Linked DNA regions of Arabidopsis thaliana. The protein of the gene in region 1 interacts with the protein of each later gene in a pairwise test. Each region holds a gene or a part of one and is shown in the gene's direction. Other genes may lie near its edges. The genes, in order: AT2G14510 and BASL.

The links.
Region 2: the proteins of AT2G14510 (region 1) and BASL interact in a protein complementation assay, tested with the Arabidopsis thaliana proteins (one large-scale study listed by BioGRID).

Annotation. Positions count from the first base shown.
Region 1 is NC_003071.7:6,173,419-6,177,351, reverse strand, and holds the start of AT2G14510 (Leucine-rich repeat protein kinase family protein), read left to right. Parts: upstream 1-2,256; 5' UTR 2,257-2,275; coding exon 2,276-2,381; intron 2,382-2,491; coding exon 2,492-3,035; intron 3,036-3,128; coding exon 3,129-3,604; intron 3,605-3,797; coding exon 3,798-3,933.
Region 2 is NC_003076.8:24,487,989-24,491,921, reverse strand, and holds BASL (breaking of asymmetry in the stomatal lineage), read left to right. Parts: upstream 1-2,085; 5' UTR 2,086-2,218; coding exon 2,219-2,306; intron 2,307-2,386; coding exon 2,387-2,754; intron 2,755-2,856; coding exon 2,857-2,988; coding exon of another isoform or gene 2,989-3,027; exon of another isoform or gene 3,028-3,071; coding exon 3,072-3,163; intron 3,164-3,260; coding exon 3,261-3,369; 3' UTR 3,370-3,633; downstream 3,634-3,933. UniProt on the Arabidopsis thaliana protein: Regulates asymmetric cell division (ACD), especially in stomatal-lineage cells, probably by modulating accumulation and subcellular polarization of POLAR and SPCH.

The DNA of each region.
Region 1 (3,933 bases):
TTGCAAAGAACTTGATCAAAGAAAACTTAGGTCTAAAAACAATATAAAAACCCTATAAAATGTTCAGGGACTAATAATGCAAATAGGGAAGTCTTCTGGGGCAAATTTCCTCTTCTGTAAACTTGAAAGCGTCATGGACTTTGCTGGGCCGAAACTGGTGTCGATCGACACCAGGAGTGTGTCGATCAACACTCCTCTGAAACTGGAACTCAAAATCGTCTTTAACTTCCTTTTTCTTATCTTTTGCTCCAAAATGTCTCCTTATCTCCATTATCGTCCCACTGCATAGAATACCTGAAAAGACACTAAAAAGACTCGAGAAATAACATAAAGACTCAAAATCCTATACCTAAAACATAGATGAAATCAGTGAAAATAGGGATATATCAAGTCCCACTTTAAAAACACCTCTCTCTCTCTCTTCTCTCTCTCTTCTCTCTCTCTTCTCTCTCTAAACTTTTCAGAGAGAGAGAGATTTTGATCGAGATTTAGCCGTCCGGTACGCTTTACCGGCTTATGAATCCGGATGTGATCCGGTTTTGTCGATCCATCTCGCTGTCCTATCTCGCCATCAGGTGTATCCGGCGGTTCTCATGGCTATTCTGTTGCCGTTGTGTTTGTTTCACCGAATTGATTTGCGAAACAATTTGATATCAGTTTTTTCTTCTTTTCTAACTAGAAAGTTTCATGGTCTATTCTCGATCTGTCCCACCACCATCCACAATCAGGTAAGTGTTTTGGTGTTTCGATTGGGCGACTGTTTTAGTCTCATCCACATGAATCAAAATTCAGATCTGGGCGAATTATGGGTTGCTTGGCTCCTTCCAACCGTTATAGTTGAAACGGTCCGGCGTTTTTGACGGTTTCAATCACCTCATTTGAGGTCCGTCTTGCCATTCCAAGAAGTCAAGGTATCAATTTCCAAAGTCTATTCTTATTAGCAAGTGATGACAAGAGATCAGAAGCTTCACCTCGTCGTTGATTGTTTGTCGACGACTTCTTTCATGCTTTTGTTTTCGGAAAAGATCCAGTGATGAGAAGAGAAAGAATTTGAAGATTAAATTGAATCCTTTATCTTTTTCGGTTTAATAGCTGTCTGTTTTCATAATCCGGAGATGTTTCCGGTTGTTCACTCGCTGGAAATTGTGTCAGCTTCTGTTTGCATATTTCGCTGAAGGGGTTGTGGGTACCGGTTTACTAGGTTATCCGGTTCACCCGGTTTGTAAGATTGGTTTATGAATAAATATCCCTTTGAGAAAAAATCAAATAATAATCAAACTTATGGATATATAGAAAACAGATAAATAATAGAAGACTAAATTTTAATTATATAGTTGTATTGTTGGAGATGGATCCTAATCGGAAATATCAACATGCATGTACCAATAAAAATAAGGCACGTCCAATGTTGAACTAATCGTCTCAGCCAAGTAGAATAAATTTGATGGGATCTTATGGTAAGACTTTTTCGAAGTGGGAGTATAAAATCTTATAAGTGTGTCACGTCAAAATTATATAAAAGTGTTGGTTGTAGTATGTAAATGTTTTTTCGTTGAGATTTTAAAAAGTTTTGATGTAATGTGTAATTTCATTATACTCCCAACAAAATATTTTGTACATGAAAATTTGTTATTTGTTTAACAACAAAGAAAGAAAAATTGTTTTTGAAAGCAGCAAACATACATACAGGGTTGGACCACGAACCTAATATAATCATGCATGTATGTTTACTGCTTAAAAAAGTATTTGAAAACATAAGCAGCAAATATACTTTTTCATTTTAAGAAAGAATTTGAAAGCTATAAAATCTATTATTTTAATAGAAAATATATTTTTACGTTTTAAAAAAAACTGAAAATATATAAAGTCTAATTATACAATATATAGTGAACTTTGATAAGTAATTAATTAACATAAATATCTTATTTTCTAACCGTCTAATGGGACAAAATATTGTGTTTATCAATTATGAATGTTTTTTTTTTTTTGTATATATTGAACCTAAACCAAATTATCAAATATCAAAGCACTTCTAATTTCTTCGTATTAAACTTTCCAAACTAATATTAATTTATTACACTTCCATGACAACAACTAGGTTTTAAACATATTATTTTAGACTGTTATTATTTTCAGCCACTGATATTAATTTAGCTCATTTTCTATTTGGAAGTGACGTGTCCATATGTTGACATTGTCAACTTTGTACTTTAAGTTCTCATAATATAATGTGTTAAGACTTTTTGGTGTGTTTGAGTTTTTGTTTGGTTGAGAAATGAGAAGTAGAACAGAATCAAGAATGGAGACTCGTAACAAGTTTATGCTACTCGCTTGTGCCACTTTCTCCATTATGTCTCTTGTTAAGTCTCAAAATCAACAAGGTATTTTTACTGTTTTACACTTTTTCATTTTGTTTCCTTCATGTTTTTGATATATGAATTATCTCAAACAAAAGAAATCTTGTTCCGATTGTTACTTATTGTTTGACCAGGATTCATCAGTTTGGATTGCGGATTACCGTCTAAAGAATCTTATATCGAACCATCGAGTAATTTAACATTCATATCAGATGTCAATTTCATCCGAGGAGGAAAAACTGGTAATATCCAAAATAACTCACGTACAAACTTTATCTTTAAGCCATTCAAGGTTTTGAGATACTTTCCGGATGGAATTAGAAACTGCTACAGTTTGAGTGTGAAGCAAGGCACAAAGTATCTAATCAGGACTCTTTTCTATTATGGAAACTATGACGGTCTTAATACTTCTCCGCGATTTGACCTCTTTCTCGGTCCAAATATTTGGACAAGCGTAGATGTGCTAATAGCGGATGTAGGTGATGGAGTTGTCGAGGAGATCGTTCACGTCACAAGGTCTAACATCTTGGACATATGTCTCGTCAAAACAGGGACAAGTACACCAATGATATCAGCCATAGAACTAAGACCTTTGCGATATGATACTTATACTGCTCGAACCGGTTCCTTAAAGAGTATGGCGCACTTCTACTTCACCAATTCAGACGAGGCAATACGGTATGTCAACAACATAACAGAATACTTTATATTTAGTACCATGTGTTTTTTTTTTTTGCTCATTGACATAAACTTGATACTTGAGTGTCGCAGTTATCCCGAAGATGTCTATGATCGTGTTTGGATGCCATATTCACAACCGGAATGGACTCAAATAAACACAACCCGGAATGTAAGTGGCTTTTCGGATGGCTACAATCCGCCACAAGGTGTAATTCAGACCGCCTCCATACCCACTAATGGCAGCGAGCCATTGACCTTTACATGGAATTTGGAATCCTCTGATGACGAAACTTATGCTTACCTTTTCTTTGCTGAGATCCAACAATTAAAGGTCAATGAAACTAGGGAATTCAAAATTTTGGCGAATGGTGTTGATTACATTGATTATACTCCATGGAAGTTTGAAGCAAGAACCTTATCCAACCCTGCACCACTAAAATGCGAGGGAGGGGTATGTCGTGTGCAGCTGTCAAAAACACCGAAGTCGACTCTACCACCACTAATGAATGCTATAGAGATTTTTAGCGTCATACAATTTCCACAATCGGACACAAATACGGATGAAGGTATGTAGCCGTGTAGTTTTATGCACATATATAAAACGTAATAAGTTGGCACTTGGGAGACAACCATATTAAATGCTTTAGTCTACGGCTTAAGAGGATGTACGTGCTTAGGCTCAGAACCTCTTAGTTATTCAAAAGAATAAAGTAGTAATAAAATACGGCATATTTTATGCTTGATTCTTTTGTTTGCCAGTCATTGCTATCAAGAAAATTCAATCAACTTATCAATTGAGTAGAATCAGCTGGCAGGGCGATCCATGTGTACCTAAACAGTTTTCATGGATGGGTGTAAGCTGCAACGTTATAGATATCTCCACACCACCAAGAAT
Region 2 (3,933 bases), on another chromosome or scaffold:
TCTCGCTATTTTTATTTCTGTGCAACAAAATATATCCACCTTTCTCACTCCGAAACTTTTTTTTTTTTTTTTTCACTCAGAAACTTTAATTTCACCATATAATTTGGGGTTTAGAGCAATTTTTTTTTTTTTTTTGGTGTGGGTAATACACGCCTATTGTGGTCGTATGACCCCCCCCCCCCCACATGGCCACATGGTTTCCTTTTCACGTCTCTTCACACTCAACCACGAGGTCCACAATCGCACATATGAGTATATATGACCCATGCACCGGTAATCTAAAAGAGATATTAAAAATAAGAATAATTACTTAATTTTAGTAAATATTAAATACATTTTTAGCATAATTATATACATTTATAAACTAAATTTAAATTTTATATAAATTGAGGTTTATTCGAGTTTGGTTAGGTTTATTTGATATAAAACTTTATGTACCGTCCAGGTTATCATAAAATTATGTTCAGTTTTCATTGATGAATTTCTGCTCGTTTTTGTTTTTATGCCCACCGGCCATGATCTTCACAATCACTTTATATTTTGAATTATATAAAGATTTGGGTCATTTTCATAGAATTTGAATCGAAATCCAACAAAGCTCAGAAAATTGTAGAAAATCAGATATCTATTGTAATTTAAGATGGACCAAACAATGAAAATCTGTAGTTGATGGAATTTGATCATCCTAAAGCCACATGAGATGATAGTCTTTCATCACTCAAGAAGGCCAGACCAGTAAACTACTACAGGAGACTCTTTACATAATGAGATTCGAAAAACGAGTCTGTCGTAGGCCATCCAGCAGATCATTCATATAAAATTAGATCTCTTGAAAGATTTTCTTTACATCTTTTCTAATAAGGAACTGTAGTTTTATGAAAGAGGGACCTTTAAGAAATTCCATAAATTAATGAGGACACATGTCTCAGCTTATATGTCTATAAATTATAGAATATGTATGTATGCGATACTCCAAAAAAGAAACAGAGTGGAGGTAGTTAGATGATATTTGGCAGCTAGCATAAAATGGTAAACAAATGAAGCGAAAGATTTAACACATTTTCTTATTTAGTGTTTGGTGTATATATAGTACTCGATTATGCAAAGCCACACTTTACAACAAATCATGTTTGGTCGTGAATCATGTGCTTTATAGTGGACCCTTCTATTTTATACGCCCATGCATTTCATGTTGTTGAGTATATGTGGTCTTTTGCCCCCCCCCCCCCAAAAAAGGAATAGAAAAAAAGAAGAAGAGTATGTGCTCAATCTAGTAAACAAACGCAACGAAGAAGGTGAATTTTTTCTGTTAAAAAAAGATATTCAAAAGAAGGAGAAGTTCATGTTATATAGAGTTGAATTCAAAAACAAATAACGGTTTCTGATTAAGTTTTAACCAAATATATTGAATTTATCAAACATGAAACAACGTATTAGCAATTAACATGCCCCCAATCATAAATCTCTAACAAATCGCATGGACACATAGAAAACAGAACTTTTGAGGGTTGTAGCGAGGGTAGACCTCAATGTCCTTGTAGCTGCACATATTAGGACTCAATTGCTTGCAACTTACTTGGTGACCACACTGACAACTATCGGATCGTTGACGATTAGGCACAAGCAAAAGGTGTACATCAAGTGGATCTTAGTCTTACTACTCTTTTAATCAGATAATCTGATAATGGGCTTCATATATATATATATGGGCTCATGAAGATTCCTTGGTTATAATTTTCATTTAAAATAATAAATAAATAAAAACTCATTTCAAAAACTCTTTTGCCACCATAAATGACATCCATGTCTCTAGCCAACGTTCCATTGGCTATGCCGTCTGCTTGACACACGAAAATTGAATTAGTAAATTGAAAGATGAAAATGGAAAATGAAAAAAAAAATTGAATTTCATATAGCAGTGTTTAATAACTATGATAGCATTTACTGCCCAATTATTACAATTCCAGAATAAAAATGTTATTTCCTTTTATTCCAATAATATTAAATGCATTCATGTGTTGCACATTGTAACCCCCCTTCCCTAATTCATGGCAATCTATTTCTTGTCTCCATTTTTTTTTTCAAATTTCAAATCATTCTTCTCCCTCATAATAAATTCTTTATCTCCCTTCTGAAAACATTTCTTGAAAAAGCCAAAACACTCACACTCATAAAAAAAAGCTATTTCTCGTGACAAAGAAACACAAACATAACAGCCATGGCTTCACAGTGGACAATACCAAAACTTGTCACTTGGAGAGTCAGAGATTGGGCTTCTTGTTTCTTGGCTTGCAAGATTCCTCTAGGTCTTCTTCTATTCTCTTCTTCCTAATTTCATTACTTTTTTCAATCATTGTTAAGTTATTTTACCGATTATATGTATCAGACGGAGATGAAGATGGAGCTAATAATAATGGAAACACTACGAACAACAATAATCTAACGTTCAAAAGGATTAAGAGGAAGATTAAAAGTACTAAGAAGAAGAGATCAGAGAGGAAACTCAGCCTAAGCCCACCAGGTACACGTCATCATCATCTTCATCTAAGAAGCAGTAGCGTTTCTCCGACGACGTCGGGGTCTCAGCACCGGCGCTTGAGCTGGCCTCAGCCCCCTGTCTCAGAAGAATCTGGATTCATTGTCTTCTGCTTCGATCGCGAAGATGGTGGTTTCGATGTGGTTAAAGAGGGTAAACAAGAGAAGAAAGAGACGGAATCGTCCTCGGAAAAGTCACCGAGGACGGTGAATCGTAAGGTTCGTTGTCCGAAAATCAAAATTGTTTTAAAAAGTTTTGACCTTTTTAGTTTGAAACATAGCAAACTACAAAGTTCTTAATGCTTTTATTTTCAAGAACAGCTTATATATGGAGACCAAGGAGTAGGAGGAACAGAGAAGAATAACTCGCCGGAGACTAAAGGGACAGAACAAGATCAGAACGATAACACTTCATGTCAAGGAACTAAAGATGTCTCTAGTGATGTTACAGAAGTAATGCTTCGTAACATCTTTCAACTTCAAAGTATTTGAGAATTTAACATTCTTATTTATATATTGGTCTTTGACTGTCGCAGAGAACCAAAGAAGAAGAAGACATTGATGCCTCTGATAAATCTAGCGGGTCTAGTCACTCAGATGAAGGAAGGGGATCTTTTGCATTTCCCATGTGAGTTTCAATAACAACAAAAGAGTTTATAACATTTTTTGTTTGGAAATAAATGTTTCTGATAATTTGTACAATTTGGGATTGAAAATTAATGCAGATTAGGAGTAGAGTGGATGGGGAGTCCTGCTAAGATGCCTGAATCAGATGACTTGTCTCCCAAGAAACAAAAGCCAGTTGCTTTAGGGTTCCAATGTTGTAGATTCTGAAAAAGATAACATCCTACAAGTTTATCCAATTCTTTTGTTTTACTCTGTTTCTGACTTCAGAGTAAAGAAACACTCTTAAAGGACATAGAATCTACAATCTTGATAAGACACGAATTCAGATGAAATCATCAGTATCCTCATGTCTTGATGGTTACACATATCTATATATCTGTTCTGAAATTTGAATGTATGTCAAGAAAAATTAGTGTAAATTAGTATCAAAACTCAAAAGATAGAAGTGACTACAAGTAAGTATCACAGCTTCAACATACACTACTCTTGCTTTTTCCATAAAACAAGAGGTGAATCTTTTAAATTTTGAAACTTATGCAAATTTCAAAATATTCAAAGTAATAGAATACTAAAATTACCTCAAATTTCAAGTTAGATTTTGAGTTTCCCTTCTAAAACTTTCTGCTCTTTCTTCACCTTGTAACTAATTTAGTACTATACATATTTAAATATTTTACACAATTTTGGGCAGTAAATCTGGCATTATATTTAACGATTATAAAAAGAAAAGAACTTATTATAGTCGTTAAACTTAAACTTATTTTACAATCA